5 linked regions of the Nothobranchius furzeri genome follow. The protein of the gene in region 1 purifies or fractionates together with the protein of each later gene. This does not show direct contact. Links are inferred from orthologs where the notes say so. Each region holds a gene or a part of one and is shown in the gene's direction. Other genes may lie near its edges.

What was found.
Region 2: the proteins of ncbp2 (region 1) and kpna2 purify together in Homo sapiens (affinity purification with mass spectrometry; 4 studies listed by BioGRID and IntAct, with this or other methods). This does not show direct contact. The link is inferred for Nothobranchius furzeri from reciprocal best matches to the Homo sapiens genes NCBP2 and KPNA2.
Region 3: the proteins of ncbp2 (region 1) and kpna3 purify together in Homo sapiens (co-immunoprecipitation; 3 studies listed by BioGRID and IntAct, with this or other methods). This does not show direct contact. The link is inferred for Nothobranchius furzeri from reciprocal best matches to the Homo sapiens genes NCBP2 and KPNA3.
Region 4: the proteins of ncbp2 (region 1) and kpna1 purify together in Homo sapiens (affinity purification with mass spectrometry; 3 studies listed by BioGRID and IntAct, with this or other methods). This does not show direct contact. The link is inferred for Nothobranchius furzeri from reciprocal best matches to the Homo sapiens genes NCBP2 and KPNA1.
Region 5: the proteins of ncbp2 (region 1) and phax purify together in Homo sapiens (affinity purification with mass spectrometry; 5 studies listed by BioGRID and IntAct, with this or other methods). This does not show direct contact. The link is inferred for Nothobranchius furzeri from reciprocal best matches to the Homo sapiens genes NCBP2 and PHAX.

What each region holds. Positions count from the first base shown.
Region 1 is NC_091748.1:71,741,808-71,748,317, forward strand, and holds the start of ncbp2 (nuclear cap-binding protein subunit 2), read left to right. Parts: upstream 1-2,797; 5' UTR 2,798-3,825; coding exon 3,826-3,900; intron 3,901-3,990; coding exon 3,991-4,077; intron 4,078-4,315; coding exon 4,316-4,410; intron 4,411-4,885; coding exon 4,886-5,024; intron 5,025-6,510. UniProt on the Homo sapiens protein: Component of the cap-binding complex (CBC), which binds co-transcriptionally to the 5' cap of pre-mRNAs and is involved in various processes such as pre-mRNA splicing, translation regulation, nonsense-mediated mRNA decay, RNA-mediated gene silencing (RNAi) by microRNAs (miRNAs) and mRNA export.
Region 2 is NC_091752.1:67,642,350-67,648,740, reverse strand, and holds kpna2 (importin subunit alpha-1), read left to right. Parts: upstream 1-2,043; 5' UTR 2,044-2,127; intron 2,128-2,353; 5' UTR 2,354-2,397; coding exon 2,398-2,454; intron 2,455-2,539; coding exon 2,540-2,680; intron 2,681-2,850; coding exon 2,851-2,942; intron 2,943-3,027; coding exon 3,028-3,296; intron 3,297-3,367; coding exon 3,368-3,462; intron 3,463-3,616; coding exon 3,617-3,880; intron 3,881-3,994; coding exon 3,995-4,228; intron 4,229-4,314; coding exon 4,315-4,497; intron 4,498-4,582; coding exon 4,583-4,732; intron 4,733-4,804; coding exon 4,805-4,894; 3' UTR 4,895-5,016; downstream 5,017-6,391. Other genes in the region: nucleosome-remodeling factor subunit BPTF, read left to right, coding at 696-735; E3 ubiquitin-protein ligase SMURF2, read left to right, coding at 5,775-5,826.
Region 3 is NC_091754.1:26,736,545-26,741,424, reverse strand, and holds the end of kpna3 (importin subunit alpha-4), read left to right. Parts: intron 1-313; coding exon 314-400; intron 401-479; coding exon 480-649; intron 650-803; coding exon 804-848; intron 849-928; coding exon 929-1,060; intron 1,061-1,163; coding exon 1,164-1,292; intron 1,293-1,574; coding exon 1,575-1,679; intron 1,680-1,913; coding exon 1,914-1,985; intron 1,986-2,158; coding exon 2,159-2,321; intron 2,322-2,412; coding exon 2,413-2,507; intron 2,508-2,592; coding exon 2,593-2,691; 3' UTR 2,692-2,918; downstream 2,919-4,880. UniProt on the Homo sapiens protein: Functions in nuclear protein import as an adapter protein for nuclear receptor KPNB1. Binds specifically and directly to substrates containing either a simple or bipartite NLS motif.
Region 4 is NC_091747.1:50,441,751-50,448,169, forward strand, and holds the start of kpna1 (importin subunit alpha-5), read left to right. Parts: upstream 1-2,265; 5' UTR 2,266-2,366; intron 2,367-2,608; exon of another isoform or gene 2,609-2,749; intron 2,750-2,976; 5' UTR 2,977-2,984; coding exon 2,985-3,110; intron 3,111-3,189; coding exon 3,190-3,303; intron 3,304-3,413; coding exon 3,414-3,513; intron 3,514-3,643; coding exon 3,644-3,738; intron 3,739-3,867; coding exon 3,868-3,999; intron 4,000-4,162; coding exon 4,163-4,251; intron 4,252-4,344; coding exon 4,345-4,444; intron 4,445-4,586; coding exon 4,587-4,750; intron 4,751-4,846; coding exon 4,847-4,925; intron 4,926-5,003; coding exon 5,004-5,129; intron 5,130-5,869; coding exon of another isoform or gene 5,870-6,228; intron 6,229-6,337; coding exon of another isoform or gene 6,338-6,419. Other genes in the region: nanos homolog 1, read right to left, coding at 820-1,290; general transcription factor II-I repeat domain-containing protein 2-like, read right to left, coding at 5,870-6,228, 6,338-6,419. UniProt on the Homo sapiens protein: Functions in nuclear protein import as an adapter protein for nuclear receptor KPNB1. Binds specifically and directly to substrates containing either a simple or bipartite NLS motif.
Region 5 is NC_091741.1:59,212,603-59,219,218, reverse strand, and holds phax (phosphorylated adapter RNA export protein), read left to right. Parts: upstream 1-2,838; 5' UTR 2,839-2,943; intron 2,944-3,730; exon of another isoform or gene 3,731-3,867; intron 3,868-4,007; 5' UTR 4,008-4,019; coding exon 4,020-5,237; 3' UTR 5,238-5,526; downstream 5,527-6,616. Other genes in the region: pmpcb (mitochondrial-processing peptidase subunit beta), read right to left, coding at 124-203, 279-477, 1,029-1,158, 1,242-1,328, 1,617-1,739, 2,607-2,690. UniProt on the Homo sapiens protein: A phosphoprotein adapter involved in the XPO1-mediated U snRNA export from the nucleus.

The sequences.
Region 1 (6,510 bases):
CCCTGTAATGACTTACATTACCACATTACAGCAAAAAGCAATGCATTACAGTAATTAATTACTTTTGTACCGCATTACTCCCAACACTGTCAAACATAAACGTTCGTTTTTCAGTTTTTGTGCCGGCTTGTTCACGTACACGAGAGACACGAGCGTTCCTTTTACTGATGTTTAATGCGGTCTTGCATCTTCTTTATCTTTACACCACATGAACACCGTAGAACTAATGAAAAAGCATAAATCATGTACAAATTAACAAGTTAGTTGCCTTAAGTTAGCTAACATATTTTATAAATAAAGAATAAACGTACCACTTTGGCCTGCTAGTAGACAAACCGGTAGACTTAAACACTTTACTTTCTTCGAAAATGTTCTTAATTAGCACAAATTTGTCCGTTTTTTAATATAACTTTATTTAGCACATTTTGAACATACAATTGTAAGGCATGGAGCACAAAGTATACCATTGTGGTATTACAATGAAGAACGACAGAAATGATGGAGAAAAAGGAAGAATAAAAAAAAGAAAGGTTTGGAAGAGGTTAAGTCAATCGAACAGTTTCAGATGGTTACAAATGTTAACAGACTTAAGAGCCTTTGTGTTTTTTGATGAGGAGATCGTCCTTATATATTGTTCAAGTTCCATTTTTAATACAAGAAGTTCAGGTTTCCTGCCAAGGACTTTGCTTTTGTGTATGTGAAATTTAGCCAAAAATAGAAACATATTTACGAAGAAGAAAGCACACAAATTAGTCCGTGCGCATCAAATCTACGAGAGACGGGAAGTGACGTCACAACGCTCTTAAACACACCTTATCAAATAAACCAATTCAAAATTACTCAAATATCAAAAATGATTCGTTCTGTGCACCTGTAAATGCTACAAAATGTATTGAAGACATGAAAAATAATACTTTAAATTAACTTTTTAGGGCATTCACAAAATCACAGTGCCATCTTGTGGTGAAACCTTGAACAAAATCTGCCTGACCAATAAGACACACTGATGATTCCTGTTACATGAATACTCTTTTTATCTTTCAGGTCCCAGGAGTTGTTGCAGCATTAAGTTGAGGTCATCCGACTCCTTACAAGATTTCCAGCAAAATCTGGAAGTTGAGCCGACTCCGCTCAGCGGAGCTGCTGTTCTCCTTTAACTGGACTTCATTACTGTAGAAAACAGATGACTGTTCTGGTAAAACACTTGGAAAAATTCTCATTTAGCATCTGTGTCCAGTTTATTTTTTATTTTTTGCCTCAGGCTTGTAACAACATTCATGCCAGTTCTTTAGGACTTGTTTTTCACAAGTGATTTTTATAATGAAACAAGAGGCATGCTGGAGGCCATGTTGTTATAGGTGATGTTTTGTTTACGAGTTTGAGTTAGAAAAATAAAATGTTGACCTTGTGGTTCCCTTGTAAGTTTGTGCGGTTACTTTTGCGCAGGTCTGTTGTCACAAGTTAAAATGTAAAAGGAAAACAATGGGAGGGATCCAGACAGTAGCCAATGGCACCACATCTTCGTAATTATATAGAAAAGTACACTGACTCACTGACTGTCCTAGCTTCATCCAGCTCTGACCTTCAGCTCTTGCTGGGTAGGTTCACGGCTGAGTGTGAAGCGGCTGGGATGAGGATCAGCACCTCCAAATCTGAGACCATGGTTCTCGACCGGAAAAGGGTGGCTTGCCAACTCCGGGTCGGGGGAGAGGTCCTACCTCAAGTGGAGGAGTTTAAGTATCTCGGGGTCTTGTTCACGAGTGAGGGTAGGAGGGATCGGGAGATCGACAGGCGGATTGGTTCGGCGTCTGCAGTGATGACGCTGAGCCGATCTGTCGTGGTGAAGAGGGAGCTGAGCCAGAAAGCCAGGCTCTCGATTTACCGGTCGATCTACGTCCCAATCCTCACCTATGGTCATGAGCTTTGGGTAATGACCGAAAGAACGAGATCGCGGATACAAGCGGCCGAAATGAGTTTCCTCCGTAGGGTGGCCGGGCTCAGCCTTAGAGATAGGGTGAGGAGCTCGGAGATTCGGGAGGGACTCGGAGTAGAACCGCTGCTCCTCCGGATCGAAAGGAGTCAGTTGAGGTGGTTTGGGCATCTGGTCAGGATGCCTCCTGGACGCCTCCCTGGGGAGGTGTTTCGGGCATGTCCTGCCAGCAGGAGGCCCCCGGGTCGACCCAGGACACGTTGGAGAGGTTACATCTCCAATCTGGTCCGGGAACGCCTTGGGGTCCTGCCGGAGGAGCTGGTGGAGGTGGCCGGGGAGAGGACGGTCTGGAGCTCCCTAGATGGGATGCTGCCCCCGCGACCCGGACCCGGATAAGCGGAGGAAGACGACACTGACTCAATACCCTTGGGTATTTGCTTTCCTAAACATATGTTTATGAAGGAATGATTAGGTTTAGTTAGAAGTTAATCCATTACACCATCTCATTTAGACAAGGCAGTTTTATTTATATTTCAAACAGAAGCAATTAAACGTCCTTTCAGGTCCAAGTAAAACGCCCGAAAACAAAAATTAGCCGACAGAGTAAAACTGTAAGGTTCGTCTTCAGCGTTCAGACATAAATTCTGATTGCTTTACAGCCAGACAGGACGTGGTTTATAAAAAAAAAGAAGCATAAAGATGCAAATGTTTAAATCGAATTTAAGATGTACAAATAAAAATATTTAAAAAAAACTGCAGAAGGTGTTGATGTTGGAAGAAAAAGAATATATATATATATATATATATATAAAATCAGTAATTTGCTAATGAGATTTCTTGCACATATATGGCATTAAAACACTTCTGATGCTGATATAAAAATCCCCATCTCACCCTCCGTGGGTGGTCTCATCCTTCCAACCTTGGGTCCTCTACCAGAGGCTTGGGATCTTGAGGGTTCTGCAGTATATTAGCTGTTCCTAGAACTGCACTTTTCTGGACTGAGAGGTCTGATTGTTTTCCTTGGATCTGCTTTAGCCACTCCTGCAGTTTGGGGGTTATTGCCCTGATGACCATGGGCACCACCGATGTCTTCACTCTCCAGCTTAAGTTCTTCTTTGAGGCCCTGGTACTTTTCTAGTTTCTCGTGCTCCTTTTCCCGGATTTGCATGACTTGGTATCGCCACATCAACCACAACGGCTGATCTCTGTGGTTTGTCCACCACCACAATGTCCGGTTGGTTCACCATCACCATTTTGTCAGTCTGGGTCTGGAAGTCCCACAGGAGCTTGGTTCTCTTGTTCTCTACCACCTTAGGGTCAAAAGGTACGTGCAGTCCAAGTGCACCAAAATACAAGAAATCCTGAAAGTGATGGTCTGGTCCCACAGAGCCTGATCTCAACATCAATCGTGTGTCTAGGATTACAGGAAGAGACAGAAGGATGTGAAGAAGTCCATATCCACCGATGATCTGTGGTTAGTTCTCCAAGATGTTTAGAACCAGCCCAGTTCCTTCAACAAATGTGTGTGTGCACCTAGAACTGATGCTGTTCTAAAGGCAAAAGATGGTCACACCAAATATTGATTTGACTTGATTTAGATTATGTCCATTCACTGCTTTTTTGATTCTTGATAAATGATTAACACTTCCAGTTTTGAAAGCATTCTGCGTTTTTCCCACTAATACACTAAGAAGAAACACACACACAAACAACTACAAAGCTCGGATGAAGGCGAAAACTTAAAAAAAAATTGTAAGCAAACGCAAAATGATCTAATTTAGCGATCCTCCGTGTTTCCTCCCGGATGTATTTAGTGGACGGACAAAATACCCGGAAGTACATCATCCAAACTCGCGTCGTTAGCATTCTGCCTAAGTAGTCATTTATCCAAAATGTCTTCTAAACTAAACGCTTTAACCAGCGATTCTTACACTGAGATTAGTCAATATAGAGATCAACACTTTAAGGTAAGGGAGAAGGTGAATGAATTCGACTTTTGTATGTAAATGTGTTTTTCTCCTGCTCTAAGAGTAGTTTTATGTCATGTTTGTTTTTAGGGTAATCGTTATGAACAGGAGAAGCTGCTAAAGCACAGTAACACTCTGTATGTTGGGAACCTCTCCTTTTACACAACGGAAGAGCAGGTAAGACCTTTAAATAAAGCTAGCTTCGGCTTCCTGAGGACTGCTTTACTTCTTACATTATTCCATGAAAACCTTTCAGAACTTCTAAACGTGGTTATAACCAGCTAAATAATCCGATGTTCAAGATCGATGTAGCTACTACTGAGATCTGATGAATGTTGGCTTATAAAAACTAGACGGTTGTGGCTGGTTTATACTAGATTGAAGGCATATTTCGAATCACTGCTAATATGAACAGGTGCACGAGTTGTTTGCTAAATGTGGAGACGTGAAGCGTATCATCATCGGCCTGGATAAAATCAAGAAGACTGCCTGCGGATTCTGTTTTGTTGAGTATCCTTTTAAACTATTGGTAAATGGCCTGTATCTGTATAGCATCTTCTTAAGGTTCTACAGCCCCCCAAGGTGCTTTACAACACAATTAGTCACCCACCCACACATTCACACGCTGGTGATGATGAGCTACAATGTTGCCACAGCTGCCCTGGGTGCATAGACTGGCACAACCGGTCCTACTGACCACCACCAGCAGACAAGGCAGATTAAAAGTTTCGCCCAAGGACACAACAGCAGCATTCTCTGGCTGGAGCCGGGATCAAACCTACAACCTTCCAATTACTAGACAACCCACTCTACCTCCTGAGGTACTGCTGCTCTATCGTCACCTGATCTAGTAAAGCCAATTGATGCACAAGAAAACAAACCGTTTAAATGTCAACAGTGTTTCTGTCTTGACTGGTCGTGTATTAAAAGGGTAGCATTGATGTGAAAATGAACAGAGTGTGGACCTTAGCTGCGCCTGTACCAGATACTACACACGAGGAGACGCAGAGAACGCCATGCGCTTCGTTAACGGTACCCGGCTGGATGACCGGATCATCAGGACAGACTGGGACGCAGGCTTCAAGGAGGGCAGGCAGTACGGGCGTGGCAAATCTGGAGGACAGGTGAGGTTTACGGTCATTTTGGTTCATAATGTGAACTTGCTTAAAGGCCCAGTGTGTGATATTTTTTACCAGTTTACTATCAAATCCTGTGTTTGCAGTTCACAAACTGCAAACTTATATAGTTATACATTTTATATACATAATCTGTGGTCGAGGCTCCATGGTCATCCACCATCTTAAAATACAGTAGCTGTTTAGGGACATACGAGCTCCACGTTACCGTTTGGACTATGACTGTAACCTGAAAGAACCAGCAGAGGGCAGCAGTGTGCCCTGGAAGCATGAAGTCTGCTAATTCAACTAAGAAATAGAAAAGAATAGCTACACCGTTGCTCTACTTGTTAGTTTGAATTAAAAACAACTAAATCAAAAGACATCAAATTTGTCCATTCCTCGTCATGTCCAACACAAGATCCCCGCCCGCCATTATCTGGAAGCCAGCCTCTGATTAGTGTCTCTGACTCCCAAACTCACCTCAAGTTGTTCATCCATCTTTTCGTAGAACCAGAACTCCCGATCCGGTCCCAACGTGTCTGTACTAAAGTCCTTCTACTCAAGTCTCCTCTCTTCCCGCAGCCTGCCGTCTCTCCCAACACGCTCCAGTGCTCGTGCGCTAGCCAGTGGCTAATCAGCGTGGTTTACTTTTATCTCCACAACACTCTACTAACAGCGATGTAGTTCTCCACGCATTACAGAGACGCTCCGACTCAGAGGGCTTCTTCTCAAACGTTACCTTTAGACCTGGGTCTCCTTTTGCTGGTAATCCGTGGGAGTTTATGCGTCTCTCCGGCTCTAGCCATGGCTAACTAGTAGCTCGTGATGCCCATCTCCACCACGCCAGCCGTGAGCCACAATTAGCTGGTGGCTAAGTCAGCGTTGTTTACTTGATCTCCACAGCGTGTCCCCCCCTCACCAACCCTGCTTCACCAGCCGTGGCTAACGATCAGCCAGTGATCGCTCCATATCCATATAAGCTTGTAGCAGCAGCCAGTTTGTTTACATCGAGCGGTGCGCTCCGTGATCTACGTGAAACGGGTGTGGTGGGAAATTATGTTGCCCTGAAATATTCTGTTTCCTTTGGGCAGTCAAGAGCAAACATTTCCAAATCCACAGAACTTATTGTCCATCATGATGACTTAACAACCTCAAATAAAAGATGGTTAAACTGAGTGAGATTACATCTTTTTACATAACTTTCAAAAAAGATAAATAAGCTTGCTGCAAAAGAGTGAACGAGAATGTTTTTACTGTATCTTTTTTATTGTTTTTAGGAGGAAATACAGATAAAAACCACAAGCGCAACATTATTACAATACATTGCATCATTTTCCCCGTAAAAGTTGATCACAAATGTTGTGGAAAATAGCCAGAAGTGCGATCTCCCGACACGGGGGACAGGATATTTCAGGGGTACACAATTTCTCACAACACCTGACCTCCTGGCTGTCGTCACACCTCCTGTGTGTGTGAATCGTGACAGCTTTAG
Region 2 (6,391 bases), on another chromosome or scaffold:
CATGAAAACAGTTTCCAAAAGCTCAAGGAAAGAAAAACGACCACCAAATGTGCTCCCCCCTCCCCCTCTCGAAGTTTTAAAGAAGAAGCTCTGATCATAGTCGACAGAATTCCTAGTCAAACAGCAACCACTTTGACTCCATCTTCATCATCGCCATCATATCGAATCAGACATCGGGCCTTTGTGAAACTTCCTAAATGTTCCGTAGGATTTTAATGAGTTTTGCTTTCTAAGTTGTATTTATTATTGTTCAGCATCTCAGCTGAATTTGATATGTTGAGATGAAAGGTGCATATTTTATTATGAAGATATTTATACAGATGTTTGTATGCGGCTTCACCCTCAGTTTGATTTCATCTGGATGTTCTAAGGTGGTCCTCTAGAGTGTACATACCTTTTAGCGTGTACAGCGACTTTGTCCGACTTTTAAATCATTGTTTTAGATTGGAAAAATACTTCTATGGGTCTGAAATCACCTGACGGGGGTGGAGAGTGGCCTTGTGGTCCTTTACTTTAAAACATAACCTCAGTTTGTAGTTGTGGAAGGTTTATTCACTAATAAAGACATTCCCGCTCATTACACCAACATGGCTGCTGAAAACTCCATTCACCCATTCTGTCTGATTATTCCTAGCAAGAACAGCAATAAAAGTGTGAGGAGCTTTCATTTCTTCCCCTTTCTCCACATCCTGTAGGTCTCATAACAACAAACTTCAGGCTTCTTCGGTCTCTTAGAAAAATGCTGTGTAGAAAATGCACTCGCCAAGAAAACGGCTTTTCCAGACCGACTCTACAACACGCTGCCGGGCGACCGAGTCAACCAGCACTGCTGCTTTCACGGCGTTTTTCAGACAGAGCTGCCCTCTGCACGTTTTCAGCTGCAAGGCGGGCGTCTCGGGACCTGTCTTCATAAGAAGCTCTGCACTTGGGAGGAGGTGGTGCGAGGACAGCGGAGGCACTTCAGATAAAGTTTACTTCTGGAGCTGAGCTCTCGATTCCGTGTAATTTTCTTTTAACCCTTTTTTTTTTTTGTAAAAAAAATCCTCAGGCCTTTCTTGTGGTCTTCATGTCAGCTCATAACAGAAACTTCAAGACTGATGTACAATGGCTGAGCTTTACTGAGCATCATGTACCATGAGATTCGTCTGAATTCAGACGACTATCTTCCCCGCCACTCATTTCCACTTATCTTTTTAGTCTGAGGTGGCATGAAAGAAAGTTTACTAAATATTTGGACATCAGTAGTCATCTTGGTTAAACTTCTATATATCCTACTGAAAATATGGTAAAAGGCTATTGTAAGTGAATTTGCAGTAGTGACTGAGAAGTATGAAAATTATGTATTTGAAGGTTCCTGCCCTTTTTGTATAAAAATGAAATAAAAAATTCATCAGTTCTTGACTTGATTTTTTTGTGTTACAAATGAAAAATATCTGAACTACACTGCATCACTCTCAGCTCGTCCATAGGAATCTCCATCCCTGACTAAAAAATCTCAAAATTACAATATATATTTACATAATTACTATAAATGTGTCAGATTTGCTTAATTGTGTGTGCCTAAATGTAATCTGAATTATTTATACATTATTTTCCCCTGCTGTCTCAAACAGAAACCGATTCTGACTTTAATCTCAGAATCCTGACTTGGTTTCTCATAATTCTGAGAAAAAAATTATAAAAAATGAATACACACATTTAAAACACTATTAGACACTCATTTATACAGTTTATCAGCAAAAAAAGTTAATTTAGAGGTTACTTGCTCTTTAAATATTAAAAAAAAACCTCACTCGACTTTAGTAAAAGTTTGCTGCTCCGTTTTAAATTAGATTTAGTTTTTGGCTTTCGCTAACTTTGGTGTGTTGGACATTTATTTTCTAGCCTACAAGAGTGAAAAGATTTATTTTTAACACTACAATCTAACCCAACAAGCGCTGTTATATAAGTCTCGCGATATTCTCGTAACGTAACGACATTTCCGGTGCGTGTTATGAAATTTTTGAACAGTCCAATGAACGCTCAGGGCTCGACGTTTGGGCTCGAACGGGCCAATCAGAGGCGAGTCTAGTAGGAATTTAAAGGTCTGTGCGGTATTTTCTCCATATCACAACTGTTCCAGTCCAGGTGAGTGAGGTCTTGCTGCTCATTCGGAAAGTTTGAAACGTGTTTACGATTTCTTCCCCTTCTGTTTCGTCTGTCCAAGCCGTGATTTCACTATTTTAATTAACTAGCAATGAACTAATTTCAAACAGGAAGTAAAGCGCTCGGCGGTTTCTGACGGCTCATGGTGTCACGAGGCAGCTCGGAGCAAATCGATTAACCTTCGTGTGAAATAAACGTGTTTCCGCAGGAATTGAACCAACTTTGCATCTACTCAAGTCCACTAGCTTGAAAATGTCCGAGAACGTCGCACGTCTGAACAAATTCAAGAACAAAGGCAAAGACGTTAACGTAAGACTCGCTGCACCCAGCGTCAGTGATCGGGGTAGAATGCGCAGACTTGTGTTGAACTTGAATTCGTTTGAATCTGACGCAGGAGCTTCGGCGCAGGAGGGCTGAGGTGAACGTCGAGCTTCGAAAAGCCAAGAAAGACGACCAGATCTTCAAAAGGAGGAACGTGTGCACAGAACCGGAAGAGGCCACTTCTCCTCTCCAGGAAAGAACTCAGAACGGCCAGGTGAGACTTCAGGTGTCATTCGTTAAGGACGTGGTCTGCATCTTAAGCTGTAGGGGGGTGAATAGTCCCAGTATCTGGTGAAAGTTGCAAACCCCGAGCCTCGTACTTTGATTTTGAGCCCTGTTTCTTAACTTTTTCCACTAAATTATGACCCACTTTTGCCCCATTAGCAGAATTTAAGACAATGGACCGTGGAGGAGATCGTTACTGGGGTGAACAGCGGTAATCTGGAGTCTCAGCTTCAAGCCACCCAGGCTGCACGGTAACAGTCTTTTTTTTTAACGTTGCAAATTCCAAAGTAAACCAGTATTGATGCAGTAACTTCAACCGTGATGTTCTGTCATCAGGAAACTTCTGTCACGAGACAAGCGCCCTCCCATTGATCAGATGATCAGCGTTGGTCTGATATCCAAGTTCGTGGCCTTCCTCGGCCTGACGGACTGTCCTCCTATCCAGTTTGAGGCGTCCTGGGCTCTGACGAACATCGCCTCTGGCACATCGGATCAGACGGCTGCTGTTGTGGAGGGTGGGGCCATTCCTGCCTTCATTAACCTGGTCCTATCCCCCCACCAGCACATCAGCGAGCAGGCAGTCTGGGCTCTTGGAAACATTGCAGGTAAGTGCAGAGTTATTCTTTAGGCAAGTTTTTTTTTAACCTAAATAACTTAAATTTTTTTATTTGTATAGGTGATGGATCTGCTCTCAGAGATATGGTAATTAAGCACGGTGCTGTGGCACCTTTACTCAGGCTGCTGGAAGTTCCTGACTGGACTGTCTTTAGTGTAAGTCTTCTCGGATTTTACATTTTCCAAGAACTCCATTTGGGAAATGGTCGCATTCCTGTAATCGTTAATCCCTCCCGCCACTAGGTGGTGTCCTAACCCAATAAAATAATTCACCCCTTTAGTCTGACACCTGCTCTTCTGTTCTCTGTAGCCTGGCTACCTGAGGAATGTGACTTGGACTATTTCAAACCTGTGCCGTAACAAGAATCCTTCTCCTCCGATGAGTGCAATCGAACAGCTCCTACCTGCTCTCATTCGTCTCCTGCATCACAATGACCTGGAGGTGCTTGCTGATGCATGCTGGGCCGTGTCCTACCTGACTGACGGCTCCAACGACCGTATCGAGGTGGTGGTCCAGACGGGGCTGATTCCTCGCCTGGTGAATCTGCTCGGCTTTGAGGCGCTGTCTATAGTTGTAAGTAACTTTTCTGGCAAGTATGGTTTCTGTGGGCTTCAGCCGTCTTAAACCTCGTGTCCTTGCACTGAGACACAACTTGGACCCGGTTGTTAATGGATCATCCTCCCCCAGACTCCGGCGCTGCGTGCCATCGGAAACATCGTCACCGGCACAGACGAGCAGACTCAAGCGGTGCTGGACGCCAAGGCGCTGACCATGTTCCCTCACCTGCTGCGCCACAAGAAGCCCAACATCCAGAAGGAGGCAGCCTGGACTCTGTCCAACATCACAGCTGGGAAGGACACGCAGATCCAGGAGGTCATCGACGCAGGCCTCGTTCCATACATGGTGGAAATGCTCGTTCAGGTATGTCGTCGTGTCACAAGATTGTTGAGTAAACTTTATTTTTCTTCTAACAGTTTAGAAATATATTTTTATTTTTGCTTCTCCAGGGTGACTACAAAACTCAAAAAGAAGCGGTGTGGGCAGTTACAAACTTCACCAGTGGGGGCACTGTTCAGCAGGTGGTGTATCTGGTGCAGGTCAATGTTCTCGAGCCTCTTCTGAATCTGCTCTCCTCCAAGGACAGCAAAACGGTCCTCGTCATCTTGGACGCAATAACTAATATTTTCATGGTGAGCACATGTGTGAATGGACTGGATCAGCTGATTTCTCGTGTGTGGCTTCACGGTCCTGAAACTTGTCTGTCGGATTCGTCAGGCTGGGGATAAAATCGGAGAGGCCGACAAGCTGAGTCTGATGATCGAAGAATGCGGCGGACTGGACAAGATCGAGGCGCTGCAGTCTCACGAGAACGAGATGATCTACAAAGCTGCCCTCAACCTGATTGAGAAGTATTTCTCTGAAGAGGTGAGTGTGGCAGTGAAGGTGTGACCAGTTAAATGTTTGTTTGTCTCATGGACTCGTGTGTTTTTGTTTTAGGAGGAGGAGGTGCTGTGTGTGGCTCCTGAAGCTACAGAGGAAGGGTTTGCATTCCAGATCAGTGAAAACCAAAGCACTTTCAACTTCTAGATGACCCTTTTTTCTGTTTACTGTACCTGTGTCCTATGTTTGTGTTCTTCTGCTGTTTTCCTGTATCTAATGTACGGTTTTAACCTCTACACACTTGTAAATAAAGTTTATGATGCTTGTTATGGGCTGTGTGTGTGTGTGCTACAAGCTACCCTGCAACACCTAGGCTGAAGTGGTTTTGATGACGGATTTTAAATATAAAAACTTAATATTTGGTTTAAATGGCTGCTGCCTTTTCAGAGGCTGCAAGTGAAAAAAAGTGAACACTTATGAGGCAACTTTTTTTTTTAAGTGAGGATTTTTATAAATATATATATATATAAAGCTTACCAGTTTGGGTTTAGAAGTAGGGTGTGAATTGAGTTTTACGGTTAGGCATACTGCAGTCAAAATGAATGGGAGTCAATTGATGGTCCTCGCTATGATAGAAAGACAGGTGTGTGTGTGTGATGTCTGGCTCCCCCGGTGGGTGCTGTCGTCACCGGTCAGCTCGTGCGGCGGGACTAACCCGGAGGCTCCGCACTTGAGCTCAGGAGGAGCTGAGAGGAGGACCGAGGCAGGCGGAGGTTCTCTCCGAAGATGTGAAGACAAACACCGCCTCCCTCAGCGAGCCCACACCAGCCTCTCCCCGCGCCTCAGCTACGGGGTCCAAACGTTACATTTTCATTTTGGTGAATGTACTCTAAAGTATGTTACACCCGCCCTTTTCTCCCTTATTTTCGCATTTATGAGCGACCGCTGTGGCAGTTCGGTCCACCTCCGGGCCGCAATGCTTTGACTCCATTATTGTCTAAAAGTGGCGCAGAGGTTGATTTTTTTTTTTTAATCCGACACCCGGCGTTTTTGTAGCTGCTCCAGAGAAGTCTCGGTCCAAGAGGAGATGTCTAATCAAGGAGTTCGGCGGAATGGACCCGTGAAGCTGCGACTAACAGGTAGCTAGCACCGCTTCAACCCCCGAGCGTATTCCCACACACTAGCTAGGAAGGCTGGGTGTATTTGCTGGATGGGAGCAGCTCCCACGGGCCACGGAGTTGGCCTGCTGCCTGCTATTCCTCTTGCTTTTAATTTTTAATTGAAGCGTTTTAAAATTATTTTTAAATATCAGTTTGTTTTAATGGAAGATTCTGTGTAGCTGAATTCTGATATTATTGTTCTTGGAAGTAGTCTCAGCCTTTGTCGCCTGGAAACCTGCAGCAGTCGGAGCAGGGATCCAGGCTACTTTCGTGTCGGCACTGGCTTGCAGATAAATAATAGTGAAAATCCCTAAAACAACCTGCTTTTGTGGTGATCACGGATGAAAATGCACCATAAACAGGAGTGCTGTGCTGACAGACGGGCTCGGTTAAAGTTGGCTAGCTGACGCTAGCTCTTAATGCCAGATCAAGCGGCTCATAGGAGTGTGTACAGTGTCCCATAACTGTCTCCCCCTGACAGACAGCTGCCTCCTTTGTTTGTTGTTGTTGTGAAAGCTGGCCGAGCCACTCCTCACCTCCACCT
Region 3 (4,880 bases), on another chromosome or scaffold:
CGTACATTTTTCCGCTGTTTTCTTTCATGAATCCCAAAGATTGTGTGGAAAGTTGCTTACGCAGTTTTCCGACTGTGTTTTGTGCGTAAGCAAGCTTGATAAACGAGGCCCCAGCTCAGATGTTGTGTAAAATTCCCGAGTAAATGAGACCCATCATCAATACTGATCCGAACTGGGACCAGTCCATCATGTTTCTGTGTGATGTTGAGAGCAGGAATCCTAGATTTTTTTTAATTTTGGCTTTAAATCTTCTCCAGGAAACCTGCTCCACAAGCTGCCACCTAGTTCTGACTTAAGTTTTTTTCGTATCCAGATGCGGTCCCCTTGTTCCTGCGGCTGCTCCACTCTCCTCACCAGAACGTGTGTGAACAGGCCGTTTGGGCTCTGGGAAACATTATCGGTGAGTACGACCCTCGGGCGGAACGTAGGCTGGGGCAAATGCAGCCGTGATGCTGAGATCTCTCCTGTCGCCTGCTCAGGTGATGGTCCACAGTGCAGGGATTATGTCATTTCACTGGGCGTGGTCAAGCCCCTGCTCTCTTTCATCAACCCGTCTATCCCCATCACCTTCCTCCGCAACGTCACCTGGGTCATTGTTAACCTCTGCCGCAACAAGGATCCGCCACCGCCCATGGAGACTGTGCAAGAGGTGGGCGTGTCTGGGCACGCTTTTGTATACTAGACCTATCTTTGTGTTGTTGTCTGCGTTCACCCAGGATAGTCTTAGACTAGTGACAGTTCAAGCTGTTTGTTTCTGCTCTGTTCTTTGATTTGACTTAAAATCCTCTCGTCTTTGCCCACAGATTCTGCCGGCCCTCTGTGTGCTTATATATCACACTGATATTAATGTAAGTTTCTGCCTGCAACGTGCTCGTCCCATGCATGTCTTTTCTCAGAGTTGTTAACTGTATTATGTTGGTGTGTGTAGATACTAGTAGACACAGTCTGGGCTCTGTCTTATCTGACGGACGGAGGCAACGAGCAGATCCAAATGGTCATTGATTCTGGGGTCGTTCCATTTCTTGTGCCTCTCCTCAGCCATCAGGAGGTCAAAGTTCAGGTAAAATTGTTTTCATGCAGAGCTCTTTGCTGTTTTAATGCGTTAATTTTAATCGGCGAATTAATCTGAAGTTGTCTCGTCATTCTTTCTCCTGCAAATCCAGACAGCAGCTCTGAGGGCCGTCGGGAACATCGTGACGGGAACAGACGAGCAGACACAGGTGGTTCTAAACTGTGATGTTCTCTCGCACTTCCCCAACCTGCTCACCCACCCTAAAGAAAAGATCAACAAGGTAATTCGAACTGGAAACGGGACTCTTAAGGCTCCTCGCATTTCCGTCCCTTTACGAATGAGAGGGGTGTGGTTTTTGTAAAACAATCATCACTTCCGACGAAATACACCCACAGAAGTCTTCCTTACATTTAATATAACACCTGTTATGGAAGTAAGATCGTTAAAGTGAGTCATTAATGCAAAATGAAGCATAAACGAAGCTGAATTGGATCCAGATGTGGCTGAAAGGCTGTTTTGGGGATGAAGTTAAGGGGCTGATCTTGACTGCTTGTGTTTGCAGGAAGCAGTCTGGTTCTTGTCCAACATTACAGCAGGGAACCAGCAGCAGGTCCAGGCTGTGATCGATGCTGGGTTAATTCCTATGGTCATCCACCAACTGGCTAAGGTTTGTGCACGGCACGGGAGCAGCAGAAAACCTAAAAACTCTCGTAGTTATTCACCTTTCTCCACAGATGGGGGCGGATCAGGCTTTAGAAATATGTTTTATGATTTTTACACATTGTGAAACGGATTCTTTCAGTTCAGGCAAATAAAAATCTCATAAGATGGTCACAAATGTGGTGAGCATCTGACAATATGCTCTGGAAGTGGATCTCAATGACAGCCTGGTTCTCCACAGGGCGACTTTGGCACTCAGAAGGAGGCAGCATGGGCCATCAGCAACCTCACCATCAGTGGGAGGAAAGACCAGGTGAGCTGGAGCCTTACACTTTTAACTTGGCAACACGACCACACTTTTAAATGTTTATCTGAATATTTCACATCCTGTAAGTCCATGTAAATGATTTAAGGAGGCCGTCCTCCAGACTTGTAACCACATATCTGTGTTACGATAAAGTGGTGTGTATGTATGGGTTTGTGTAGGTGGAGTTCCTGGTGGAGCAGAACGTCATCCCTCCGTTCTGCAGCCTGCTGTCGGTGAAAGACTCTCAGGTGGTGCAGGTCGTCCTGGACGGCCTGAAGAACATCCTCATCATGGCTGGAGACGAAGCCAGCACCATCACTGAGATCATAGAGGAGTGTGGAGGTTATTTAGTCATTTCCATTTAACTTGATGCTCTTGGGTTTACAACATTTTGGTGATAACACAAGATATCTTTTATGTTTTTTATGTGAAGGTTTGGAGAAAATAGAAAATTTGCAGCAGCATGAGAACGAAGACATCTACAAACTAGCCTTTGAGATTATTGATCAGTACTTTTCAGGAGATGATGTAAGTTCACCATCAGGGATTTCTTTTTCTACTTCAGGTTTTTCCCTCTGCAGCTTGGTGTGATATCTCCTAGTTTCTTTTCCAGATTGACGAAGACCCTAGCTTGATCCCTGAGACCACTCAAGGAGGAACCTTCAACTTTGATCCAGCGTCCAACATGCAAACAAAGGAGTTTAATTTCTAAAAGCCGGAGGATTTTTGGTTCCCATCGCTGCATGGGTACTCTGTAATCATTGCATCCATCTCCAACAATCTGGCAATCCGGTACTGAAGGATTTTCAAAGCATCACTTCGACATGGATCTCACCACTGAGATGCTTTCTCCACCTCTGCACTGCGGGGTCGTTTTATTTATTTTTTTCCTTAAGTTTTTTTCTCCTTTTCTTCAAAGTGTCATTCTTTTTGGAGCAGTGCGATTCTTTTTTTTTTTGGAGTCCTGGTGATCCGACAGGCGCCTCGGCAACCCGCGCGAGGACGGCTGTCGGTGCCGCCAGAGCTCCTGAGGATCCGTCGAAGGTAAAAAAAGCAGAAGGAAGAAAAAGCCTTGGCAAGATTTGTTTGCCAATTGTCAAGTCTTCACTAAAGACAACACAAGCACATTTACAAACACAAACAGGTGCGCACACACACACAGTTATATATAAATATATACATATATGTAAACACACTTTTGACACTTAAGACTCGTGTGCTTATTTCTGTTAGAAATTATATCACACATGGGGAAGAAATACTGCTGTTTGTTGGGTTATTTTTGTGCTCTCCCTCCCCTGGATTGTCTTTTGGTGTACCCCCCCCCCCCCCCGACACACACTCGCACACAAAAACACTTGGTCACACTGATTCCTAAAGGCCAGGCACACTCCTCTTTCACTCGTCTAAAGATTTAATCCCAGAGCTAAGCCATGATCACCCACAGACCCCCCACTGCCCTCCCAGGAGAGTCTTTGGGCAAATCGGGGAAAAGAAAGGGCTCCAAGGCAAAAAGGAGAAGACTTCGTGGCAAACTCACTAACGGGGACTTCTGACTCAGACGTCACTTTTTTCCTGTACTGAATTTAAGAAAATATCTAAAATGTGAAGAAATGCCATTTTATTATTTTTTTTAACCACATTCAGCTGCAAACTGTTTCTGAGTCAGAAGGTAGATTTTGGTATAAATGGACGTGGAACCCTGTCACACAGGGAATGGCAACAGAGACCTTAAGAGAAGAGGAATATCACTTTCTCCTGTGTGTTCCCACCTGGCTATGTGAACAGATTTTTTTGTTTTGTTTTTGAGACTCTCCTGTAATGTGAAAACTCTGAAAGGGGGAGGAGCTTAACAAAAACGTATGTTAAAGCGAAAAGTCCAGAATTGCTCATCTGACCATAAGGTTGTGTTTTATTTTTGTTTTAATCCTCTCAGAACAAATGTTTCATGTCTCAGCTTTGTACGGTTGGGTCTGTTGGTTTTTACTTTATTCAGTCTTATGCACACGTCTGAGAGGCACGACAGTGTCTGCCTGCAGAAAGGGACCCACGGAGTGCAGGTCCTGATCTTTTATTGTACTTAACTACTTTTGATGAAGAGGTCACATGTCATCACTCAATTTGAATAATTGTACAAAACGTGATGTGTATCTCTCCTTGCCGTCTAATGAGTATATGAATATAAATATATGTAAACATAAAGCCTGTACAAAGCTGCTGCAGCTGACAGTCATTGTATGAATAACTGTCAAAGATGGCAGGGGATGTTTTTTTTTTGAGCAATATTTCTTTGTTTTGTTTGTTTTTGACTTGTAATGACATGCTGATTGGATCAGAATAGGCTCTTATTTAGTCCGTTCTGTTGTGGTGACGGTTTATTTTTATTTTTAATGTACCGTCCCATGTTCTGTTTTATTTGGGTTTAAGGTGTCAAACTTTAATCCCAACTCTTGTCCTGGTCTCAGATTTTATAATCTGCTGATTGGCTGCTAACTACTTAGTGGGGGTCAGAGCGGCGACGGGGGTGGTCACACCGGGGCTTTAAATAATGGGTGTGGCTGTAACAAGCGGCCATGTTTTTTTGCTTTTGTTTGGGGGACTAGTTTATATTACTGAACAAAGCTATAGAAGGGGTGTACAGTCATGAACTAGCAGACTAGACCGAGCCACTTTAAAGATTTACAATTTTGTTGCCTTGTATCTGCATTTGATACAAGCTTATGTTTGCAAGATTTTTACTTGCTAATGAAAAGTTGTTTTAAATAAAATAGGAGAAAAGCAACAGACAGCATTTTGGCCTCTGATTGTTTGTATCTTTTTATAAATTTTAGATTGAATTCTTCTCTTTAAGGTGGCTCATTGATGCGTTCAACTCGTGCATATTAAAGACAATAATGAGTT
Region 4 (6,419 bases), on another chromosome or scaffold:
CCAAATGATTTAAAACAGAGATCATATCAAACTGTATTCATATATGATTTAATATGTCTGTCATAATTAAATCCAGAGTTCTTATGAAGATTTCAAGAACAAACTTCAAGAGCAAAAATATTGTATCAAGATATTTGTGCAGTTTTTAAATATTATTATCCAAAATAGGTTTATTTGTATTTAGCTTTAACCAATTCATTATTTTTAGCCAGAACATTTATGATAATTTACCATAACATAAATTATCACTTTTTTTCTAAATAAAACACCCCTCAGAGCACTTAAAATAAAAGCTATTATTTCTTTCTGTGAGACCCCCAAACCAAATTATTCAACCTGACATGTTGCACTCATATTTAAAACCCTAATTAAAAAATTATCAAAGCAAATAATAGTTTGTAGATTTAACCAATGCGACAGTAAAGCAAAATATAAATCTGAAAAATACATACCTGCACTTATTAATGCAAATTTGCTTATTTCTGACTGTTTATGCAAATAAAAAGCAGTCATAGTTTTCAAAGAACTGTTTATTATATGAAAATGATGACGGAACAGATTATTATTGTGTTTTAACTCATTAAAGACGGAACACAACAAAAACTGCCTCATGAACTCAAAATCATTTGCATTTAGTCATGATAAAAACAAACAAACAAATACTGAAAGTTTGGGATTGTTAAAGGATGCAGGTCAGACTTACTGATGCTCAAACATCAAACCAAACAGGATCCGCTTAAACCCATTTTTCTCCTTGTTGACAGATTTTAAGTAAACAAAACAACCTTTTATAAGTTTGTTCCAGCTGACAGCATCATGCTACCAGAACTTTAATCCGGACAGCACCCTCGCAGCCTCCTGCCGCTTGTCTCCAGGACAGTACTTGCGTGTGTGCGCTCTGTCCCCGGTGGCCTTACAGTTGGGACAGGTGTACTTCCGGAGGACGGGGCAGAGCACCTTCCCGTCGTCAGATTTGAGCTTGTGGGACCGGTACACCTTAGGAGACTCTCCGTTCTGCTTGCAGAAACTGCAGCTGCTTGCAGAAGCCCCGTTGTTGCTGCTGCTGTTGCTGCTGCTGCTGGAACTAGTCTCTGCGGAGATGCTGGAAGTCCTGCGCCTGGATGGGGTCTGGAGGTGTCGCCAATGGGGGTCCTTCTCGGGCTCCTCTGGAGCCACCTCCCTCTGGTCGCGCTTCTCCAGAAGGCTGCTCAGGTTCATGTAATCATGCCACATGTCGAAGCAGTCGCCACCGTGCAGGAACGAGCTCTGGACGTCCACCCCACCTTGCATCTTTATGGAACAAAAATGTGCAATGGTTTGCGTTAGAGAGCATCGTTGCATATTTATAGGCGCCAGTAAGTCGTTTTAAATTGCAACAATGTTGATGTCTTGCAGGTGTTTGGGTTGTGCAGGGTAATGGCTTTGTTTGAACACTTAAGGGCAGTTGCATTTATTTAGGTAAAAAAAATGTTAAAACACGTGCAAAGGTAAATATTTTTCACAATGTAGGCCTACTACAATCTGTGGAATGTTGTTATTGTTATTTCCTGAAGCCCCAATCAACAAAATATAAACAATGACTTTACTACAGAGTAGTCCGTGGATTAAGATGTTTATGATCTTTATTTTTGAATACTTGTGCAAAAATTTGATTATTAAAAATTATAAATGAACGCATATTTTATCTTTTTCCAAACTTTAAAAAGGTGCACCTGTTTTGCTCTGGTGCACGCTTTTCGATATTTGCGCCTGTGACACATTTAGATGTTAATATTTAGATTTTGTAATTGCATGTGTTGCCTAAGTTTGTAAATGTAGTTTAAGGACAAATCACAAAAGCAAAACATGAAAACAACAATAATAAGTGATGGTGAAAATGTCTTGCATACACTGTGATCAGTGTGTGTGCATGTGTGTGTTCCTGTGTGTTTATGTGCATGTGTGGCTACCTTGCCGACCCACCGTTAACCCCTTAATGATCCTTGGCGCCTCAGTGTCTCATCTAAAACACTTCAAAATAAACACCTGCACCGTTTGAAAAATGTTCAGTAAAACTGACAGAACGCATCGCTCTTTGAAGTTAAAACAAATCTGTCAACCCCTAATTGTGAGTGGGATGACTCTTTTGGCTTCTGAACCTTAACACGTTCAACTTTTGACCTACACTTTCACTTTTGAAGACGTTTTCACCCTTTTAATCAATGGAAGCGTCATATTTACAAAACAAAAGCCTCGTGTGGGCGTGGCCACAGAAGCGTACGAGGACTCCTCGTACGTGCCTCGAGGCGCATGCGTAGTTATTTACCGGTGACGGCTGTACAAACGGTGGCCTAACGAACAAGGGGATTACGAGCACAACCCGATAGGTAAAATAAGTAAAACATTTACACTTTTTTATTTATTATGTTTAGAAAGCCTTTACATTGACAAGATGTTTTACCATTTTTGCCAGAGACATCTGGGAAACGCCAGACTGTCCGCAGTGCTAAGCTTGGTCTCGACCTAAGCTAACATCCAGCTAGCCACTAGCTTACGGAGTTGAGTAGGAGGCTAATACCCGCTGTGATATAAGCAGCCTGACCCTGTCTGTACGTTGCTGTAGTACTACCTTGTGTTTTTAGTAGTGTCAGTTGACTTCGACAGGTTTTCTTCACCAAAATTGACATGTTTGGTTTCCTGCAGCCCACGCAGTAAATTCAGAGAATGCTAACCTGCTAGCAAGGTCTCTTAATACTTTAGCTGAAGCAATGTTTGTTTAGAGGAATGATCTACTCATTGACTGTGAAAGAGACTGCTGAAGTAGCAGTGTGATCCACCCAACCTTTTGCTATGACTGTCAGAGGATACTGGGCGACGTTTAATTCATGAAGGAGGCTAAAACCAAGATTAGGATCTGCTCTGATCCAGCTATGCTAAAACAATGGCTCCTAATCCTAGTCAAGTCTGTGTCGATCATAGGTATTTCTGTGCTCTCAGGCATCACTATGAGTCAAAGTAAGGACAATGCACGACTCAAGAGCTACAAAAACAAGTCTCTTAACACAGATGAGATGAGGAGGAGGAGGGAAGAGGAAGGCCTGCAACTTAGGAAACAGAAGAAGGATGAACAAGTAAGTCAATGGTTAATGTGACCGTAAATGAATAAAATGTCAGAATTTGCAACCAAATAAGCATCTTGTTCTTTTATAGCTTTTTAAAAGGAGGAATGTTGCCACTGTGGAGGATGAGGGCACCCTTGAGGATGATGGAATGGCTGATAGTGGCTATCTGGAATCTCAGGCTAACAACCTGGACCCACTAATGGTGGGAAAATATTCCTTCTTTTTCTGCAATCAACTCTTTTTATTTATATATTTATTTTACTACCGTTTAAAATCACATGTCAAATAAATTCTTATTTTGTCACCTCACAGGGTGGGGTGATCTCTGATGACATGATTCAGATGATCTTCTCCAGCTCTCCGGAGCAGCAGTTGATAGGCACTCAGCGCTTTAGGAAGCTTCTTTCAAAAGGTTGGCTTTTTTTTTCCTTTTTTTAAATGTGTGCATTTTAAACCATGCACCCTGTTTCAAAACATCATGATTTACTACCTGAGTTGAAACATTTAGTGGTTACATTCCTACAAATGTTTTTCTTGCGCAGAACCCAACCCACCCATCGACGAAGTTATTGCCACTCCGGGGGTGGTCGAGTGTTTTGTTGAGTTTCTGAAGAGGAGAGAAAATTGCACATTGCAGGTTTATTTCCCAAAGTTAAATAAAATTTCCTCCTCGTGTTGGACCGCATCCTCTCTCTGCCTTGTATGGTGTCTCTAATTCTGCTCATGGTTTAATACATTTAAGCCTTTTTTGTAATTATCTTTGTAGTTTGAGGCAGCTTGGGTGCTGACCAACATTGCTTCAGGGACATCCCACCAGACGCGGGTTGTGATCCAGGCTGGAGCTGTGCCCATCTTCATAGAGATGCTGAGCTCAGATTTTGAAGACGTTCAGGAACAGGTTGGTCGAGTTTTCAGGCTTATTTCTGCATCAACAACCTTATATCTGTTAACTTTTTTTTAACAAAAACATGCAAGAACTGGCCTGTGATGTTCTTGTTATACAAAATCATACATTCATGTAGTGCTTGTTGTCTAAAATGAATAGTTGTTTCACTCCTCAGGCAGTGTGGGCATTGGGTAACATAGCAGGTGACAGCACAGAATGCAGAAACTTTGTCATCAACTGCAACATCCTGCCTTCCCTGCTGCAGTACGTCATTGATCTCTTTGTATAATTTTAGAAAATAAAAATGGAAAAAACAGCATCTTTAGGAATTTTTGCTTTGTTAAATCCCGCTTTTAGGTTATTGGCCAAACAGAATCGCCTAACGATGATGAGGAACGCCGTGTGGGCGCTCTCAAACCTGTGTAGAGGAAAGAACCCACCCCCAGACTTTGCTAAGGTAATTTGCCAAGATATACTATCGCTATGGCAACTGCACATCAGAGCACATTTCAAGGTCACAGGCAGGATGGTCTTCTAATTGAATCCAAAAGCAAATTTCCTCTTAAATCTCCTCATGTTCTCCTCCTTGCCCCGTCCAGGTGTCCCCATGTCTCTGTGTGCTGTCCTGGCTGCTGTTTGTTAACGACACAGACATCTTGGCTGATGCATGCTGGGCACTGTCCTACCTATCTGATGGGCCTAATGACAAAATCCAGGCTGTTATTGACTCAGGAGTCTGTCGGAGGCTAGTGGAGTTGTTGATGTAAGAATTGAAACTTTTTTATTCTGCAGCGTGTTGTAGAAGCGTGTGTCCAGTCCCAGATTCTTTCATATGATCCACACATCTCCTTCCCTTTAGGCACTCTGATTATAAAGTGGTGTCTCCAGCTCTGCGGGCTGTTGGGAACATCGTCACTGGCGATGATCTGCAGACACAAGTAATGACATCATCAACACAAACTGTTAAATAAACATGAATGTTCTGATTTGAATCTGATTTTTATTTATCCTTTCAGGTGATCCTGAACTGTTCAGCTCTGCAGTCCCTACTTTACCTCCTGAGCAGCCCAAAGGAGTCTATCAAGAAGGAAGCTTGTTGGACCATTTCCAACATCACCGCAGGGAATCGAGCACAAATACAGGTTATTCTACACAGTTTTCTTTCTTCTTTTTTTTTTTTAACTACTTCATCTCGTAACAGGGATGTCAAAGTCAAATACACAGAGGGCCAAAAATACAAATTGGCTATAAGCCGAGGACCGGACTGGTTCAATGTTTATTAAAACATATTGAAATGATTGCACGTAGCCTATTGAACCAAGACCTAACGCAGTGTATTATTTAATGATTAAATCAATAATGGGGAAAGCATTTTTCAGCAGGCACACAGACAAGAACAAACTGCCTTCAAAGAAAAATCACGTCCTGTACATTAAATGAATAAAGTAATATTTTCTTATGGCTCTGTCAGTAAGCTAAAAAGAAAACATTTTCAACAGGCAAACAGCAAAAAAGCAATTTTCCTTCAAAAACAAAACATGTTCCTTACATCAAGATGAATGCTTAAATGAAACTGCATGCATTATAAACTGAAAATGCAATATTGTGCTGCTCTATTATCCTACCAATTACTGCTTCAAATAGTAAAATGAAAAAATGTAGAATAAATCAAATTCTTTCTCATGGCTCTTATCTGCAATTTCCCCTGAGTCCATTAACTAAAATAAATATAAATAAAATACAGTACAATACAATAAAATGCAAAAATATATGGCACACTGACAAAACAATACTTCCTTCAAAGAAAAATCATGTCTTGTAGAAACAAATGTAAAATTTTAACCGAATTAAAAACTAAAGATACGTTAATGCTCTGTGATGCTCACTTCTCTGAGCCTGATACTTGATGGTGTCTCATCTTTTGTACAAGCTCATCAATGTTCGGGGTAAGGCTCTGAGCTGAGGAAATCCTCAAGATTGAGTGAAGGTGCTGATCAGTGAGACGGTTCCTGTGTGGTGTTTTGTTTAGCTTCATCAAAGAGAACAGTTGTTCGCACAGGTATGTGCTGCCAAACATAGAGAGCGTCTGAGCAGCTTGGATGCGCAGCTCGGCCATTGTGTCGGGAATGAAACGTGCAAACTCGGCAGCACCCACTCGCTCATACTTTTCCTTCAGTGTGTCATTGCACTGAAGCTCAATCAACTCCATTTGTAGGTTTGGTGGTGCGCTTTCCACGTCAACTGCAAAAGGATTGCTGAGCAGTTGAAACTTGCATTTTTGGGCTTCAAACTCAGCAAATCGGCGTCGGAAGTCGGCGGCAAGTATGTTGAGTTTGTCAGCAAACTGCACTCGGGAACACAGCGGTAGAGAGCTTCTCTTTCATGGTCTCGCAGCTGGGAAAGTGGCTCAAGTTTTCTTTCCGGATCTGCAT
Region 5 (6,616 bases), on another chromosome or scaffold:
CTTCATGAGGAACTGATCCATGCTTAATCTGAACTCAGCTCTGCATCATCAGTGGGACCGTGTGTGTTTCTCTACATTAGACCTGATTCTAATCCAGCACAGGAGAAGAATAACAGCTCACACCTCCGGCAGCAGCCAGAACTATCCTGGGTCCTCTGTAGTGGGTGGTGATGTACTCCACCAGGTCTCCTCTGTTGATCGTCCTGCATCACAAACAAACAAAGATAAACAGTTGCTTCAACCAGACGAGGGAAAGTAGGAAAGCAGCTGGATCTCACTTGATGTTCTCCGTGGGGCCGAGGATGGTCCTGCCCAGTGCTGTAGACTGGTAAGCTGTGGCGTGCAGGTAATCAAACACCACCTCCTGCAGATTGGTCTCCACTTCCTGCATCTCTCTGAGGATCACGCCGCGCTCCCGTTCGATCTCCGCTTCACCGAGTGTGCTGTTCTGAATGATGTCAGCCAGGATTTCAACAGCTAGGAGGCGGAAAACAGTTTTTTATCACAAAACTGGATGGCGAATGGTTTGGAATACAAATGTATGTTATTGTGTTAATGCAAAGACAGCATGAATAAAGGCTGAGATAGTAGAATGCTGCAATGTTATATAATTACAAAGTAACTATCACCATGGCAACCGACAATGTGAACTAAATCTGCTCTTGGCAGGTTTTAAGCAACATGGCTTCACTTTCTTTTGAAGTCCAATTAAGATGAGAACAGGATTTCCTCGATTATATCATGTGATCTTTTCCCACCTAGACTAGATTTGATTTATCTTTATTTTAAAAGCAGATGTGGTTAATTGGGACATTGAGCTCCATTGATCAGGCCTTTTCACATCAGGATGAGGACAATCCCAGTTGACTGAACTAATCAAGCATTCTGGAATCAAACACATCAACAGTTTGTTGAACTTTCTGGAGCTCTCTTGTTGCAGCATTACTCGTGTGAGCTGCTACTAGAAAAGTAGTATAGCTGCAGACCAAAACTTCCATTTTCGTCAGGTCGATGCTCTTGGTCTGTACCTCGTGGGAGATCCTTTGAGAACGCTTTGGCATAGTAGACCGTCTGCTCCCGGGATGTGTACGCGTTCAGATGAGCTCCCATGTTCTCTATCTCCAACTCCAGGTCCAGCTGAGAGCGTTTCCTGGTGCCCTGCAGCACGCAAACATTCAAATGAACATTTCCTCTTCCAGATAAACACACAGATTAAATATTCACAGCTGCAGCCTTCTCACCTTAAATGCCATGTGCTCCAAGAAGTGTGCTGTGCCGTTATTCCTCTCATTCTCATAGCGACTGCCAGCATCTATCCACAGCCCCACCTGAAAGAAACCACTTATCAATGTTCTCTCCACCGGTCCTTGTGAGAGGCCTTTTCAGCATGAGGGGCTCAAACTTTGAAAAGAAAACAGATTTTACAACATAATCCTCCAGCTTACATCTGATGCATGACTAGGGTGAAGCTATGGTGACTGAATCATGGTGGTGGGATAACTATCCAGTACTCTGATCCAGTATTGACAAAAAAAACTGTAAATTTAATGGCTGGATGTTTAAAGTACATGGTTGCTGTTTGACCCACATGCTGTTCATTTAGGATTTGAACTTACTGTGCACGTAGTAAGGCCGGAGTCCTCTGAAGCCACCCGCAGTCCGTTTTCTAAAGTAGTAACTTTAGTTTCTGGGACATTTAGCGCCACCTGGTGGGCAGCCCGAGTAGCCAACAGCCGCCGCTACAGTCACAAAATCAGCAAGTCAGTATGAGTCTTCAGAGTTAGACCAGCTGCTGTTAATCAGTACTAGTTAACTACATAGCATTGTTGTTATACTGACGGAGGGTGTTTCTCAATGTCAAGGCGCCTTGCGAGGCGATGTCTTGCGAGGCGCCTTGCTTACGAGGACACTGTCCTTCCTTGATCAAAGAAATCGGTTAAATGGAAGAACAAACGGAGAACACACGCCTCGGTAGAACATCCAGCTTCTAGTGGGGAAGGTCATTGGAACCGATTGGAACACGTCTTGGCGGCTCCTGATGGCGTATCTCCTAGGCAACCGGGGCGGGGCCAAGACATCAAGACAAGGTTCCTTGACGTTGAGAAACAATACCCGCTATTTCACTCCAACCAAACATAAGGATTTATCACAGTTAGCCTGTAGCGGCTATGTTAAACAGTGAGCCGGCTAAAACCTAGTTTCAAGCGTCCTGTAGACAATATATGATAAATGACCCGCACTTGTGTAGCGCCTCTCACAGTAAGGACTCCAAAGCATTTTACACTACAGTGTATCATTCATCCATTCACACACACACACACACACATTCACACACTGATGGTGATGAGCTACGATGTAGCCACAGCTGCCCTGGGGCGCACTGACAGAGGTGAGGCTGCCGAGCACAGGCGCCACCGGACCCTCCGACCACCACCAGCAGGCAACGTGGGTTAAGTGTCTTGCCCAAGGACACAACAGCAGAATTCTCTGTCCGGAGCCGGGATCGAACCTGCAACCTTCCGATTACTGGACAACCCGCTCAACCTGTTGAACTACTGCTGCCCAATAAACCATGATCGATTAAAATCGATTTTAATCATTCTTACCCCGCTGAGATAATTACTCTTGAGTAAGTTTCTTTGTAAAATAATTCTCCCCGCAGATGTGAGAAGATGAAATGACGCTGCCATATTGTTTATTTGTAAATGTGCGCATGCGTGCGTCACGCAACTTCCGCTACGGACAAGGAAGAGAAGGTGGTGCTTTGGTTCTTTAAAAAATAAAAGCAGTTGCTTTGAGAAATACTAATGTTTCTTAGAACCCGGAACTCAATAATTTATATTTGACAGTGGCACTCACGTGGTATATGTAATATTGGAGATCTGTGTAAAGATGGAAACTTTATGTCTTACGAGGATCTAACCCATACTTACAAATTGCAAGGTAAAGGACATTTTTGGAAATACCTCCAAATGAGACATTGTGTGACTTCTAAATTTAAGGAAGTTCCTGAGAATGATATTTTAGGTTATATTAAAATGCCACGTGACCGCCACACTGCTTCGGTGTTTTATAAACTGTTTAATCATGGTTTAAGTGGGGAGTCTTTAGGCATTAAACTACTTTGGCAGCGGGACTTGGAAACAGAATACACAAATGAAAAATGGCTAAATGTCTTATCAGACAGTGGTAAATATGTGAAAGAGGCTAGAAGTAAATTTATACAGTACAAGGTGTTGCATAGATACTACCATACTCCTACCAGGTTGCATAGAATTTTGTTTTTGTATGTTCTTGTACGTTATAAAAAATCTGAAGATAATAAAAACTTTAATTATAAAGAAATAATTTATATTTGGACGAAATTACATTGACGTATAAATAAATGCGTTTTAATGACCCCCCCCCCCCCCCCACACACACACACACACACACACACACATACATTTGTAAACATGCTACATTTAACATATAATATTTTGGCCCATGTTTAGTATGTTGACAATGCTAGTAAGTGTACACCTGCATAGTGACACTGTATTAAAATCCTTGAAACTTGGGGAGTTTTCTGAGATCATATTACATAGGAAAGCAATATTCTTGATTTTAGGACATATAATAAATAACACAACAGATAAAATGCCAAAAATTACGCATCCACAACCACAATATGTAAAATGCGTAGTTGTAGTTTTATTTTGAAACGTTCTGACAGTTCCCAGGCGGAAGTGGCGCTTTAGCCAGCGCCAATTCACCTCTGGCTCTTTCGTAAGTTGGTGCGTTCGTTAATCGTTGCGTTGAGGAGTCGCCAAGCTGATTTAAACTACATTCGCCTGCGGAATAGAGCTTTCTATCGGGCTCTTTAAGGTGTTCATTGCATTATTTTGTGGCCGGCCTTAGCATTGAGTTTGTTAGCCGCTAACGTGCTGTGGAGTTAGCTATGAGTAACCCGAACTTCAGAGACAAAGGTGTTGATAACAGCCTCTGTTGTTGGCTCTGACTTCCAGGTAGGCTACCGAATGGCCGAACTGATGGACGGTGACTTGGAAGATGGAGAAATCTCTGGGTCCAACTCGGACACCGAAATGGGAACGGCTGCAGCAGAACCTGACCGAACCGAGGCTTCCTCGGCTTTTAGCGGGCAGTCCTTTCAGCAACGAGCCGCCACCCGGCCGCCTGCCGCCCCATACCGAAGCTCCGCTAAGGCGGTGGAGTCCAGCGACAGTGATCCGGATTCTTCAGACGAGGATTCGGCCATGTGGCGCCGAAAGAGACAGAAAGTGTCTGGAGCTCCACAGCAGCCTGCAGGGTCTGCTCTGCCTGGTCCGAGGCCCGTGCCCGCCCCGGGTGCGCTTGGAAGTCGCAAGGTAAACAATATTTGGGGTTCCGTGGTCCAGGAGCAGTGCCAGGATGCCATCACCTCAGAGCTAGGCATCTTTGGTATGGAGGGTGTCAGCATGTCCAGCAGAAGTGTGGAGACTTATAACTTTGTTCTAGCCCGAAAGATGATGGAGAAGGAGAGAGAGATGGAGAAGCAGTCAAAGCAGGGAGAAGAGGAGACCATGCTAGATGCTGAACTGGAGGCCTACATGAAGGGCCGGGGTTCACAAGAGAAGGCAGGGAATGATGTTAAGAGGAAAAGACCCGCCAAAGAAAGACTTGGCGCCATAGCTGAGATGGACATCAAGGGTCGATTTGAAATCACTGAAGACGACCCCGAGGACAAGGTGGTGGACGAGATTACATACAGACTGCAGGAGCCTAAAAAAGATCTGATAGAGCGAGTTGTTCGCGTTATTGGATCACAAAAAGCCATAGAACTGCTGGGTGAGACCGCCACACTGGAGGAAAACGGTGGTGTTTACACTATGGATGGCAGCAGGCGGAGGACTCCCGGTGGAGTATTCCTCAACCTGCTGAAGAACACGCCCAGCGTCTCCAAGTCCCAGATCAGGAAGATATTTTTTGAGGAACATCAGAAAGATTACAAGAGCAAGAAGGCAGCGCAGAAGAGGAGGCGGCATGAGCTGGCTAAGAAGATGAAGCAGGCCATCGGCACTCTGAACCTGCATGAGCATGACGACGTCTCCAGGGAAACCTTTGCTAGTGATACTAACGAGGCCTTGGAATCTCTGGAGGAGGCTGCAGAGGAAGAGGAGGCGGGTCAGGAGGAGGTTGCTGTGGGAACCGAGGAGACGGCGGTGGTCTATAACTCGACAGACCTGGAGGTTTTCTGAACACATCCCTGTGTGTGATCATAGAAAACCAGAACTGAGATGAAAAAGGAGCACTGAAAACTAAAGGAGTCATTGAAGTCACACTGTTTGTTTGTATTCCATTTTTTATTTACCTTTAGAAATAAAAGAAACATTAATGCTAACAAATGAAAAATACTCTGTTTGTGTTCAAAATTATATCCTGGATCTGAATTTAAAAAAATCTTTGCTGATTTCAGTATATAAAGAGGTATTGTGTTAGTGTGTCATTGCAGGACAAATAAAAGAACTGTTGAAGAAAAATGTTCAGTAAAGCAGGAAGTCTTGCTTCTGTGATTCTGTCATGCAGAAAGAAAGGTTTCTAACAGCAACACGCAGGTTTGGTCCCAGACAGATCAGAATAACCCCTCTCCCATGACAGCTTTTGCAGTGCAGACTTTTGTCCACTAGATGACAGCAACACTAAATGTTTAAGGTGCTGCTTTTGGATGAACCACATTTACGGCTATTACAGTATAACAAAACATACTATACATACTTTTATATTTTTCTTTCATTTTTTTCCTCCAATTTTTAATTTACGATGGTTTTTGATCATTTTTTATTGTCCTTGTAAAGTGCCTCATGGTTTTTATCTTAGGCCCTTTATAAAAAATAGTTTCTTCATAAAATAAATGCATACTTCGACACTATCTGGACATCAATAAGGCCTGAGTGATGTAAAGTAGAATTTAATAAGTCGTTTAGTCTTTTTCCATCATCGTATTTATCCTTTATTGTTTTCAGTGCTGCATGTGTAACACTTAACAGTTCAAACACTCCTGCACTAAACATCAGTTTCTGATTGAATCTGGCTTCTGGTTCAGACATTTCAACATTACTCTTAACGGCTCCTTTTGTTTCCATATAAAAAAAAGGTTAGTGGACAAAAACTACAGAATCTTGTGTCCTCTCTGGAATAATAGTGATAAGAAATAAAATTATGATTTACATTATTTTTGTTTTAATTGGAGCAGCAAAAATGGGCTTCAGCAAAAATATATAGCAAACATTTTTTTGAACAAATTTAGAAAATAGCAAAAAAGTCCCTTTTTTGTGGCTCAAGAAACAGCTTATTTTCGGGAATGTGGAAAAAAGTTTTTATTAATTTTTTATCTGAAAACGAGTGCCATAATAAGAAATACACAACAGCCTTCTCTGTCAGGGGCTGCAGCAGCAATCGGAGTACAAAACATTTAATCAATCCTTTATTTTTGGTGGGACACGGGCGGATTTAGGACTGAAGAAGATCCGGGGCTTAACACACACACACGCGTGCGCGTGACACGCACTAGTCAACATCATATACTGTATATTTGTCTTGTACCACATAATTTTTAATCTGAAGCTACATATTAAGC